Linked DNA regions of Yarrowia lipolytica. The protein of the gene in region 3 purifies or fractionates together with the protein of the main gene of each other region. This does not show direct contact. Links are inferred from orthologs where the notes say so. Each region holds a gene or a part of one and is shown on either strand. Other genes may lie near its edges.

Evidence for each region. The genes of interacting proteins can lie anywhere in the genome.
Region 1: the proteins of YALI1_C22816g (region 3) and YALI1_A02083g purify together in Saccharomyces cerevisiae (affinity purification with mass spectrometry; 3 studies listed by BioGRID). This does not show direct contact. The link is inferred for Yarrowia lipolytica from reciprocal best matches to the Saccharomyces cerevisiae genes PFD1 and GIM3.
Region 2: the proteins of YALI1_C22816g (region 3) and YALI1_B11916g purify together in Saccharomyces cerevisiae (affinity purification with mass spectrometry; 3 studies listed by BioGRID). This does not show direct contact. The link is inferred for Yarrowia lipolytica from reciprocal best matches to the Saccharomyces cerevisiae genes PFD1 and PAC10.

What each region holds. Positions count from the first base shown.
Region 1 is NC_090770.1:206,874-211,685, forward strand, and holds YALI1_A02083g (uncharacterized protein), read right to left. Parts: upstream 2,050-4,812; coding exon 2,041-2,049; intron 1,460-2,040; coding exon 1,076-1,459; downstream 1-1,075. Other genes in the region: YALI1_A02075g (uncharacterized protein), read right to left, coding at 1-652; YALI1_A02096g (uncharacterized protein), read left to right, coding at 2,756-4,036; YALI1_A02113g (uncharacterized protein), read right to left, coding at 4,136-4,474, 4,529-4,564. UniProt on the Saccharomyces cerevisiae protein: Binds specifically to cytosolic chaperonin (c-CPN) and transfers target proteins to it. Binds to nascent polypeptide chain and promotes folding in an environment in which there are many competing pathways for nonnative proteins.
Region 2 is NC_090771.1:1,189,973-1,194,193, reverse strand, and holds YALI1_B11916g (uncharacterized protein), read left to right. Parts: upstream 1-2,579; coding exon 2,580-3,146; downstream 3,147-4,221. Other genes in the region: YALI1_B11934g (60S ribosomal protein eL18), read right to left, coding at 1-342, 642-753. UniProt on the Saccharomyces cerevisiae protein: Binds specifically to cytosolic chaperonin (c-CPN) and transfers target proteins to it. Binds to nascent polypeptide chain and promotes folding in an environment in which there are many competing pathways for nonnative proteins.
Region 3 is NC_090772.1:2,279,389-2,283,480, forward strand, and holds YALI1_C22816g (uncharacterized protein), read left to right. Parts: upstream 1-2,304; coding exon 2,305-2,313; intron 2,314-2,456; coding exon 2,457-2,789; downstream 2,790-4,092. Other genes in the region: YALI1_C22835g (uncharacterized protein), read right to left, coding at 3,320-4,092. UniProt on the Saccharomyces cerevisiae protein: Binds specifically to cytosolic chaperonin (c-CPN) and transfers target proteins to it. Binds to nascent polypeptide chain and promotes folding in an environment in which there are many competing pathways for nonnative proteins.

The DNA.
Region 1 (4,812 bases), on a different chromosome or scaffold from region 3:
AGGCTTCTGACCAAGGAGTCACAATGAAGAACTGCCTGCTGTGACCATCTTCCTTTAGAAACGTCTTGGCGAGAGCTCCTTCCTCTGGAAAAAAGGGAACGTGGTTGTAATCCACGGCTACCAATCTCTTAGCAGCGACCTTTGAAGTCAATAATGCGGACTCTCTGTTGATCTCAGCTGTGGTTATTGTATCGAGATTGGTATCCTCCTCTATTTTGACCTTGGCCGTACCACCAATAGTATCAGTACTTGGATCAGCACCTTCCCCGACAGAGGTATCAGTTGTGTGGCCTAAGGCGAATTTGGACACTTTGTGCTCGGCAATGATAGATGTATCTTTCTCCTGCTGCTTGGTCCTCATGGTGCCTAGCGGTGGTTCTCCAGTCACATTCTCGGACCCTCGATCAAATGCACCCAATTCTTCCACGTGAGTCTCAATGAGCCCGGTCTTTGACAGTTTCTCCAAGTCCAACCGTTTTTCCCTCCTGCTGCTCCTCTTCACCACTTTTCCTGCTCCTGCTCCTTGGTCATCAGACTTGATCCACAAAACTCGTCTTCTTTCCGCTGCCATAAAAAGCTCTTGGGTCGTGAGTTTTGGCGCGTGTCGGGATTTTGGAGACATTGGAGTCGATTTCAGCCGTATTTGTGCCATTTCAGCATGTTTCGGAAGTTGATAATCGGTGTCAAAAGCTCGTGGGGCCCAACATGAGGTTCAGTTCGGCTGTATTCTGCATTTCCGATGCGGCATGTGCATGATTTGACTGAGGCTCATGTGGGGTAAAATTGAAAAAAAAAAAATAGAAAAAATAGAAAATTAAAAAATAGAAAAACTAGAAAATTAAAAATTAAAAAAATTAGAAAAATTAGAAGAAAAAAAAGAAGAAAAAAATGACTACATTAATCTACTTATCCTATTAATAACATGATTATTTCAATCCTCCTCCACCACGTCGATGACAGCCACATCCAGCCGAATCCAGCCGTATCCAGCCTTTTCAGCCTCATGTAATTCCACAATCTACACAACCCACAATCAACCATCTATCAAATACATCATCCAACTATCCCCTGGAGCCTATCTCTCAAGAGAAATGGAGTTGCCAAACTTGGCATACAAATGCTTCTTGAGCTCCTCCATCTCGTCTCGAATCTCGGCCATCCTGCTCTGGGTCTTGTCGAGCTTGGCGTCCACTTCCTCCTGCTGCTTCTCTAGTCGCACCATGGCTTCACTCTGGGGAATGTCCACAAAGGCGTCGCCAATCTTGAACTTGACGGTCTCGTCCTCGTCCATCAGCTCCATCTCCATGATCAGATCGTCCAGGTACTCTTTGCTGGTCGACGACTCCTTCTCATCGTCCTCAAGATGGTCCATCTGGGTGTTGAGAGAAGAGAAGCGGTTAATTCGGTCCTGGTCCTCCCTCAGAACTTCCACGTCCTTGACCTCGGTTCCTTCGTCGAGCTGGGTTAGTACTGGATGGATTCGCCAGCAGACTCAGATAAGTGTAAACGAGCCCTTAACTGCGCACGATTACCAGTGGTTCAGGCATACAGCCAAACGGGTCGAACGCAGATGGATTTCTGGTTTCTGGTAAGTCAGCGATCAACATGGACACGGCAAGCAGATGTACCCCGGCTAATACATCAATTTGTGGCCTCCATCTCGATCTGTTCCTTTCTGCGGTCCCAGTTGCAATTATGGGCACATCTGACTTCATTACAGGATGATCAATCGATCTCAACCACATCTCTCAGCTCTACGGTACTCGGTGAGGTCGTATCCCTGGTTGGCTGTTGGTATGCTTGAATTTGTATACCACCTAGTCTCATACCACGGAGATTCAATTTTAAACAACCAACCAGACCTTCACTCATAATTGCCCTCCTCTCAAGATCAGATCAAAGACCAATCACGGATGTGTCACTGATTGCCACACCGCCCCAGCAACTGGCGATGGTCCATTCTGAACCGCATCTGCATTGTAACAACAAATTCTGTCCGCAAATGCGTCTCTAAAACCTCCTGTCCAGCCCATTACTCACCATTCGCATTGTGTGTAGTTGTGTGTTGGTCAGTGCACTCCTGGATTGTGTGTTCAGGCGTGCATCATCTTGCTTATGTAAGTGAACTCTACGAGGAGGATGGGTCGCCAGTTCGAACCCGGTCAGGTGGTATTTCAAGGAAATAACCGCAAATCGCGAATCGGACGAGTTATACCATCTTCCTCGACCTCGTCAATCGGATCTGGTGGATCGCATGATTTGATCACGTGACGTTATATCCCCCCTTCTTAGACTTCCTAAATGATGTTTATGTATCAAGTCCAGATTGGATTTCTCCAGTACGTACTTGTAGTGTTATTTGGCTTAAAAACAGTCGATTTTGTCCAGAAAAACCAATCATGAAAATTTGCAGGCAGATTTGAGCTGACTTCTCTGTTTCCAGCTCTTCAGCGCCATTTCAAGTCTTCCAGAATGTTCTCTGTTTTGGTCGTTATTTTCATCTCAACTTTAAATCACCACTGAAAAAAAAAAAATCGTGATTTTTCATTATTTTAGAGTTCCCCATAATTTCAAGTTTCACCGTACACATCAGAACAACATCATATTTCCGTCATATTCCGTCATATTTCCAACATATTTCTTCTAAAGATTGGAAATTGCAAAAAAATCAGACCAAATTAGTCGAAAATATCGTTCCAAGTCGAAAGACCGGCCTAAGATACCCACTTTTGCGCAATACCCAACATCCCCAGTCATGCCTTTGAACACCCTCACAAAACTTCCCAGACTCGCTCTGGCGGTCAGCGGAGGGTCCGACTCAATGGCACTGGCCTACATGATATCACAAACACCCGGTTTGAGCGAGAAAACCACAGCATACACCGTGGATCACGGGGTACGGAGTGAATCGTCTTCGGAGGCCCAAAACGTTCACGAAATCGTCTCTAGACTAGGTATAAACCATCGGATTCTCAAATTGGACGCTTTGAACGACACAAAAGAACTTTCAATGCGACAGGCGCGTTATTCGAAACTCATTGCGGCCATGAATGATGACGGAGTTTCTACAGTCGTCACGGCACATACCCAAGACGATTGTATAGAGACATTCGTGGTACGTATGCTTAGAGGAAGTGGATTATTTGGACTTGCAGGAATCCAGCCACGAGTCTCGTTTAATCCTTATACCTGGGGAGGAGGTGGTATTGCGCTGAAACAGCATTCAAGGACGGAATTGGCGTCTGGATGGAAGCTAATGAGACCGTTACTGGGTCTAACAAAGTCCCATTTACGAAATGTGCTTGTTAAGAACAACATCCCCTGGTTCGAAGACCCTACCAACCAAAACGTGGAGATTGCAGAACGAAACCTGGTGAGAAAGATGTATTACGAGTACCCGGAACTGATTCCGGAGGAGTTCCAGGCATCCAATGTATTGAGACTGCTGGAGAAGCTCAATGGGTATCGGATAAAGTGCGAAACGGAGGCTTCCGAGGTATCTTCCAGATTGCTAGCTGCTTCTCAATCGCCAGATGGAACTATTACTCTCTCTGAGGAACAAGTGAAAGGGGTTCTGACCAAACTGCCACATGATACGCTTCAACTAGTATTGAGAAACATTCTTTCTCCGCTATCTCCGTTGCCAGATCTGTCTCTAAGGCTGCACAGACTGCGAGGCTTGACTGGACGGTTTGAAGCAGGCAACAAGTTCAACCTTGCCGGAGTCGACTTCTCCCTCAGAAACGACAAATGGCAGCTGTCGCGCGAGGTGCCTCGACGACCTTCCGATCACGTGGTCCAGCTAACTCCCGGTCGTGTGAGTCTCTGGGATAACCGGTTCTTTGTTGTTTCCGACCTCCCAAAGGCCACGGTCCAGTTTATCGACTGGGACAGTCATCGAGAGCTGTTCAAGAGCAAGGAGGAGCTGAACAAGGCGCGAGATCAGGCGAGAAAGAGAAACCCCATCCTGGTTTACGAGGGTGGATATTCTTTTCCTGCTTTACAACGAGGTGTTTTGAATACAATGCCCAAGTGAGTGTACAGCACGATATGGGGAGTGCGAGGCAGCCCGGCGAGCCTCGAGGATCTTTCGAGCGTCTCAAGTTTTGTTTATTCATCAGCTGATCAGATTTCATCACCACTGGGGAAGTATGAGCTCAGAAATGGCTATAACGTTCCAGTAGCGTGATGGCAAACACAGCTCAACGACATGGCCGACATGAACGACATGCCCGACATGGCCGACACATATCATCATGCCCGCCGAATACAGCTTTGGAAACAAGAAGCCATGCACTGCAGAGCAGTTTTTGAAAACAAAATCAGCAAGCTCTATGGCGAGTGCACACTTGAAAACGTTGAAAGATTCAATTTCGCATTCGAGGGTCCAATGAAAGCTCCGATGGATGGTTTGACGTATTCTTGAAGTTTTATGAAGCTCAACTTCTATTTTTGGCGTTAACGAGGGAGTTGACTATGCCTGTTCGATACCGACTGCGGCAAGAGATCAACACCGAAGAAGTTCTACTCGGGAAGGGGGGTTACTTCTGTTAAGGAAGTCCATTGAAAAAGAGTCAAACCTGTCGCGGGTCCGAATTGGAGCCCCTTTTAAAAGCCGCCGTTGGTTCTGATATGAAGGAGGCCAGTCAAAACTGGGTAACACTACAATGCTCAACACCCACTCGCGAAGTCATGGCTCGATTATTCTACGAACAGGACCTGAAGCTGGAGTTTCCACATGCGGCAGATCTAGTTGACATTGCACTATTGTATGATATACCTGACCTTCTGGAGATTGCAATTCTCAAAATA
Region 2 (4,221 bases), on a different chromosome or scaffold from region 3:
GTCGAACAGCCTGTCGGGCGTTTCGGGAGCCTCGCAGCATCAGAGTGTTCTCGCCGGTAGGGGCTCGGACAGCAAGCTGATCAAGAGTGAGGGCCTCACCGCCAGCCTTGACGATTCGAGCTCGGGCAGTGCCGGTGAATCGGAGGGCAGCGACGGTGGTCTTGGGGAACTCGACGAGTCGGGGATCGTCAGTCACGGTGCCGACAACAACAACGATCTTGTCAGCATTGCCCTTGACCTTGAGGTTCTCGACAATCTTGCCAGTGGAGACGGGGGGTCGGTTGACCTTGGAGAGGAAAAGACCCTTGAGAACCCGCTTGTTGAACTTGGAGTCAGTTCGTCCTGAGTTAGTAAAAAGAAAACGAAATAAAAGGCCGAATGTCAAAATTCGACTGTGATGCCGTATCAATAGAATCCCAAAACAAGATGGGTCTTGATTCTGGCACCACTCTACGTGGCATGTCGAGGGAGTTCGGGCAACGCAACTGTGCCATACACAAGTACCATACTTGTAATAGTACGGTAGATGCCACCGCACAGCACATGCATAGACCCACTCTCAACCTCTCCGTAGTGCTCACGCTCCGCACATTTCTGTGCTTGGACAATGTCATTAATAACACGTCCTCACTCGCACTCACGGGCCAGGAATCGGTACAGCTTGACCAGGAGGGTCAGGTAGACGTTCTCGGACTTGGGAGCAGTTCGGTTAGAATGCTTCTGGTGCTTCTTGGTGAAAGAGTCTTTTCCCATGGTGAATGATTTGTCGAAGATGAAGAGACTGCAGAGAGAAATTAAGATACTTGGGAGGAGTCCCAACTGAAAATTTGAAAGAGCAGTCACGTCACGTGAATTACAAATTGGGACAAACCTTAACCAGATTGGCGAAATTGGGACCCTCCTCCAACATGTTGTGAAAGTCATGTGAGAATGGGCGTAGAGGGGATGTTGTGGGTTATTTGAGGGTCTAGGAATATCGCAGAGAAATTGGTTATATCACTCTGGGTCTCGATATGCCATAATATCGTTTACTGTCATTGTTCCTTTTTACCCTAAAAAAAATGACAAAATTAATAATCAAAACCTTATTTGAGTTTGTTAATCACCGTCGGTTCGATTCGAAGTGGTGCATCTATTTGCTGCACTCACTTTGGCTAAACTGACGGCTATTCGGAAATCCCAATTTGGCAAGGTGTTTATTTTTAGGGTTTAGACTAACATAAAAAAAAATTGGGCAAGCTCCAAAGTCATCTCGAAGAGGTAGCAAGGGGTAAAAGACGGATTAGGAAAAGCAATGGGGTTTTTGGTGGTTTTGTGTTATATGATTTTGTGATTTGAGGATTTATTTTCTCCGTTTCGGATTTGGTTGTCAGGTCAAGTAATTTGTTGGGGTGGCTGGAATGATTCTGATTAACAAAAAGATTGAGATCGTTAGGATATTGGTTGAGGTGTAGTTGGAATGGAGACATGTCTACAAGTGGCTGAAGAGACACGGTGGAGAGAAGTGAAAGAAGATAATTGCGGTTAAAACCCTCTGCTGAGTTCATCCAGGGATTTCTCTTCCTCTTTCCGAGCCCAATTTCGGATTCTATCTTGGAGTTTTCACTTTGAAGTGACAACTACACACACCACTTCTATCACCACGGGTAATCACCCGATCAGAGATTTTGAATAATAACCATTCCATCCGTCACGTGGCAACTAACAAATGTCTCCTTACAATCTATTTTGCTGGAGGACTCCATCTAACTTGAATGTATACTTTAGTCAGCAAATGATGTTTACTCCATGAAGTCCTCGTGGTTCTTTATCAAAAAAACAACCAATGTTGATCCGATAGTAAATGAACTCACCAACAATTTGTTAACTGAGCAATCTCAACGGGTTTCTGGCAAAGTCCTTCTTTGGTGTCTTCTTTGGTGTCTTCTTTGGTGTCTTTTCAACACTCAGCGCGTCTGCACTGAGGAACGAGCGGATCCAAATATCGCAATATTGGGGGAGTGCATGGATATTAATCACAGATTTTTTTATAGGTTGCAATTATATGAGTAAATTAACTGTTTCTGATTCAGTTATCTTCTCAGTTGGACAGGTTTTGACGGTTTGATTTATTGTACTGGTGCAGAACAGAAGAGATTGAAATTCTCACATTACTTGATTGGATTTTTTTCAGGTCAATGAAAAACAGTTTTCTTTTCTGGTTTTCTTTGATCTTTTGGTATTTTCCAGTCACCATAGAACGCTTGAGGATGTGGGTAATGTCGTCGTAACGTCTAACTAAGTATCTTAACTAAGTTCAAGTAAAGGTATACACACTTAGTACATGAGTTAGGGCGGTGCTTTGTTGTCCTCTATGGTTGTTTTCGCAAGAAAAATGTTGTGGAACATGTATCTTTCCATCAGTAAATTTGCAGCTATTCCAATGGTGTAATAATCATAGCCCATTTTCATACAAAATTGTGACTTGTGGAACTACTCTTCAAACTGACTGCACCAACTCCCTAAACTTCCGCCTGCAGATCACCACATCACAGATCGCACACTACAGATCACTCCAGTTACACAATCACTCACACACAATGTCTGCGTCCTCTGAACCTGACACAAACCCCCGCGGCATTCCCCGGGCCCCCTTCGTCGACAATGTGGCCGAGTTTGTGAGCAAGTCGGGCGTCAAGGAATCGCTCGACAAATTCCAGGAAATGCTGCAAAAGTACAAGTATATGGAAATGACGACTTTACAGCGGCAGGCCGGGCTCAAGGAGAAGATTCCGGACATCCAAAAGTCGCTGGAGATGGTGGAGTTTCTGCAGCTCAAGGGTTCGGCCGGCGAAGACGTGGTGACCAACTACGAGCTCAACGACACGCTGTACACAGAAGCCAAGATCGAGGCGAGCGGCATTCAGTCTGTCTATCTGTGGCTGGGCGCCAACGTGATGCTGGAGTACGATGTTGCCGAGGCCAAGCAGCTGCTGAGTGAGCGGTTGGAGGGTGCCAAGAGAGGCTACGACACCGCCGAGGAAGATGTGCTGTTTCTGAGAGAAAACATCACCACCGTTGAGGTGAACATTGCCCGTGTGCACAACTGGGACGTAAACCGACGTAAGAAGGAGCGTGAGGAGGCGGAGCGAGCGGAAAACAAGTAGGTGATGGTATGAAATGAATGTCAATCTTGAGAATGGGTGGAATTTTTTTGGGGGGTGAACAAAATCGGAAGATATCAGCGGAATGTCTGGGCTGGGGCGAATATCACTGCGGCATCCGTTTTTGTTTTGGACAAGAAATCATCGACTTGTGTTGTAGGTACACTTGTCTCTGACTTCCACGTTTGTATAACCTGATAGGGTGCTACTTGTATGTACTCAAGAGTAGATATCTCCAAAGATTGTACGTGTATCATCAAAGCTGGTTTGAAACCGCAATTGGGATCTCTGTTTGATTCTGAGCCGATGGATCTACTTGTTTTCCAATTGTAACTTGTCATGACAGTTCCTGTAGATTGTCTATAGCTCCGCGTACAGCTAAAGAAGTGAAGGCCTGAGAACTCTTCTGGATCAATTGAGATCAATCGTTAATGATAGCAATTCTTGTGTCTTTCATAGGTCGATTATTACTTGTCTTGAAGCTTCTGTACATCTCAGGAACATGTAGTCTTCTCTTCCATGTATACATGCCCGAACTCCTCAGCAAAATCGAAGAGAACAACGTATCACCTGCTCTTCAGAAAGATGTGGGCGCACCGTAAAAACGATACCATCCACCTTGTCTGTCTGCTGGATATAATGTGGAGAAAACCCCCGACCTTTGTGAGGAAAAAAAGGAGAGTTGGAGAAACTGCTAGTTTTGCCTGTTCTAAACTAACCCCCAACTAGTTCCCAACTAACACTTGATCTATAGCCTACAACATACCACATCAGATCGTCCCCAGAAAGGCTCCAATTGCTCCAAAAATTGGGAACCGGTTATTTTGTTCTCCTTCTGAATACTTGGTTCATTTCTCAGCTCAATCAGCCTCTGGTAACCTGTTGTCGTGATAAGCCAAACACAGGAACAAAATCTACCAAATTTAACTCTCAATAGTTGACATATTACTCGACATTCTAAGGGGTGAGGCCTAGATCTTGCACACAAGTACGAGTGCAATTGCGAGTAGGCCAGCTTCCTATTACTCTACTCGGTGGTCAGCTGTAATGAGCTCATCCATATCTGCCCAACTACATC
Region 3 (4,092 bases):
TATTCCCGAATATATTCAAATCGTTTGATACATTCCAGGTTTAGTTTATATACAATTCAAATCAAGAGCTGAACGATTGCACTCGTCCCTTGTTTTACAACCTCACAAAGTAATTGTAGTATGTGCTAAGCTGCAGCTCTTCTCAATAATTATTGCCTACAATTATCATTAGTTTTCTTTATACCATAGGTCGTAGCTTTCGCTCCACCTGAACCATTCTAACACAGTATCGACCTGAGATATTGGATAGCTCACAAGTTTTTGAGCTCTGTTTCTAGAGACCTCAGTATATCTGAACCCCTTACAGATGTCTCCACATATTCGCCAGTATACATTTGCTTACAGAGATGTTAAAAATTCCTGACTTTCGATACTGAATTAGTAGCCATAATGTGTGATCTATTGGAACGATTAATATCATCGATACAGTACCAATGATATCAGCATTCTTTCAATGAACTTCTTATGCTTCTATCGTGATAATCCGGCGAGTAATAGTCCTATGGAATGTTTACCACACAGAGAGACACATGAGCTCCACTGAGTCAGGATAGTTGTAGGACTCATGGTATCATATTCTAAATAATGACAACTTTTTAAATATTCTATTGTTGAGTATATCTCTTGCTTCTCCGTTTGGTCAATTACTTTTCAGTACAATTGGATAGTCACAACTGGCACAACAACTTTCCATCGGTCCAAACAACATCCATAATACCAAACTACAAAATGATTTTATATCAATATACAAGATTTTGGTGCTAATAAATTCTTTTCTTTGAGCAAGGGTCAGTGCTGTTCAGGTTGCTGTGGCCAAATCAAGAAATTCACAGTTTCGAAAGTACACTCGGCACCATCGGTGTGAAAAACTTCTCAGCAGTATTATGGAGCATCTCATGATGATTTATTGGTCTCTGGTTATTGGTATAATTAATGTTTTGTATTTTTGTCAATTGATTCATTTCTTTATCATTAACTACGCGTATTTCACATTTAAATGAAATTTATTCAGTTTTTCCTCTCTCTTTCGTGGTGACTTTTTCGGCAGACTACAATGGAGTCATACTTGCTGAATATAATACCAGAAGATATGAGGAGCATATGGAGATGTTTATTACAAGTGTAGCTTTTTATTGATTATTGTCTTCAGCTTCTATCCAATTTATTGATGACTTTTCAACGGCATCTCATACCCTGAAAACCCCTGGATCTGTGGAGGCTTCAAAAGCGCAATAGGGGATCATAGCAGTAAGTGAGTACTGTCCAGAAGGAGTATAACATGTCCAAATATGTTTTTGGAACAAGTCTTGTTTTTGTAGGTAACTCATCAGTTTTTGTTTTTGTTTTTTTTGTGTTTTTTTGTGTTTTTTTGTGTTTTTTTGTGTTTTTTTCCAGTATTATCTCCATATATCGGATGTCGCATCACGTATGGACAAGACAGGTCGCAATAAAATCCAAATAGGACAAATTACTGTTCATTATAAGACGACTATCATTTATCGTGAGAGAATATTGTGTTCATCTGGAATTTATTCTGAACATGAAGCCGTTTTATGATGTAGTAGTTGTTGTTAATACAGTTGCTCAACACGCCCAGGTCGACTTTTCACGAACTCCATCTTTTTCTCCCTCCACATCCATATCAAAACTACCATACCGTTTGTCGACATCAACCAACCCTTACCATCAACAAATTCCATCGTCAAAACACTCAGGGTATCAGTAGTTGAGCAGACTAGGTCTGGCTCGAGTCGGAGCTTCGGAAAGAGATCCATTCTTGTGATTCTCCTAATACTGAGACAGTAACTTACTAGTTCAAGTACGTACTATACTTGTAGACTCTCGTACTCTCGTACTCTCGTACTCTCGTATCGTAAAGTCACAGACTGGTTGGTTGTATTTGCAAACGCTTCTTCACCTGCTGTGAATCTTGGAACATCTTTCTTGAGCTCAAGTGTTTCCAATACAGTCCAGTTCCACGGGAGTAAGACATGTGCAGTTCATTGCAACTCCTTTACTTTTGTAACACTGAATGGTTCATCAATTCTTTTCAGATACTCGTCGTAGTCCACCGAGATTTACTTTCTTCGAATTGAGTCTAAATACCCTATAAATTGGTACCAAAATGACCGCCTTGTACTGCTGCTTACGAATCTGCAGGCTTAATGCCCACACAACGTACTTTACACTGGTATCTGTCCAATTTTTTCACCACCGCCAAATAAGCTCGGCAACCTTTCTCCCAATTGCCATCGGTCTGCATACAGCCTGTCCAGATCACACTGATTGTTACACCCGACAGAAATGAGCGAAGTGAGTATGAGCGGATGGAGGGAGCGGGAAAAAAAAGGCGTGGGAATGTCACGTGCCATAGGTGAGAGCCGCTTTTGAGTCACGTGCCCTGGGGTGGGGAGGGGGGTGGATCATGTACTTGTTCGGGCCACCACTAACACCAGTTCCAACTCGTGTCGACCGAGCTATCTTCCAAGTCTGCCGAGCAGCAGTCCGTCAAGGCCCAGATCGAGTCTGCCAACCGACAATTGCGACTCATTGACCTTTCGCGCCAGCAGCTGGAGACTGAGAAGTCCGACGTGGTGTGGCAAGGCGTCGGCAAGATGTTTGTCAAGAAGGACAAGACCAGCTACCTGGAGGAGCTGACCAAGGACAAGAAGAAGGGCGAGGAGGCTCTCGACACTCTCAAAAAGAAGCTGACCTACGTGGATGTTTCTGTGGAGAACGCCCGAAAGCGTCTAGAGCAGCTACTCAAGGCTGCTGGTCAGGAACAATGAACGGAACAGACCTGAGCCAGGAAAGACTTTGAGGGTGAGGCGAAAGAGGTGGATGAGTCATCTGGTTGGTTTTCATTGGTTCTTGTACCAATCAATGGGATTCACTGTTAGTTGCCATGCTGGTACTGAATTACGTCTGATTTGTGGCCATGAATGATCCTACAACAGCCCGTACCACGGCTCGACCTTGAAGGCCATAATGAATCAGGTTGAATAGAAATGAATGATGATGTTATGATTGCAACAGGTTTGGGTGGAATCGTAGCGAGGGATGAGTCGCACCCTGGTTAGGGAGTAGTGTTCCAAGCCACGCGGCGGTTAGATTGTAACTAAATCGAGTACACCGTCTAGGTCTAACACTCCTTCACTCGCAATACATTAATCTATACACCCCTATTTCAATGAGAACAATCGTGGATTGCCCTCGTCGTGGCAATCAAAAGATCGATACGTAAGACCCATTCTTAGCAGATTGGGTGGTACCACGGGACTGGCCCTTTGTGTGACGGGTCACTAGTGGCTGCGTTCGCTTAAACGGCCGAGTAACCAGTTCGACTGCTGCCGGTAAAAGTACCCACCACCTTGGCAATCAGATCTCGGATCAGGTAGGGGACATCTCTTAGGGAATCGGCATGGGGAAGAAGGTCGACACCAGCGTTGCCGTATCGATCATAGTTGATCCAGGCGTTGCCAATGATGTATACCGCCACTCCCAGTACAATGATGATGAAGAGCCAGGTGAACCATCCCCACGATGGGTTTCCGTTGCTGGCGTCGTCCCCATCATTGGGGGTCTTTCCGGGCTCCTTGACGGGCTGCTTGGGCTTGGATCCGTCGTTGATGCAAGCTGCGGGAGTCTTCCAGTTGATTTCGTAGTAGTTGTTGAGACCCAATCCCACGTTCTCGAGCTTGGGGCCCTCCTCCTTATCCGAACAGATGTAGTTGACGTCGATATCCAGTTTCTCACTACCCCAGGGGTTTCCGTACGATGTAGAAAGGCCCTCTGTTCCCTCCGGGCCTGTTTTCAAAGGCTGGTACTGAGGAGCAGGACCGTTGCCGAACGGCATCACCTCAGACAGAACGAAATCCTTCTCCTTGGGCAGCAAGATGTAGCCCAACCCGCACACAATGGTGTTATCCGGACACTGCTCGTCCGCAGGTTTCTTCTTATCCTGTTTGAGAGACGCGCACGGATCGAGCACAAACTCCATCTTGCGCTTCGACGGAGGCGTCTCTATGGTGTATTCGACCGATTTGGGGCCGGAGATGGCGGACAGATCGTAGTTTTTGCTGTCGACAGTGA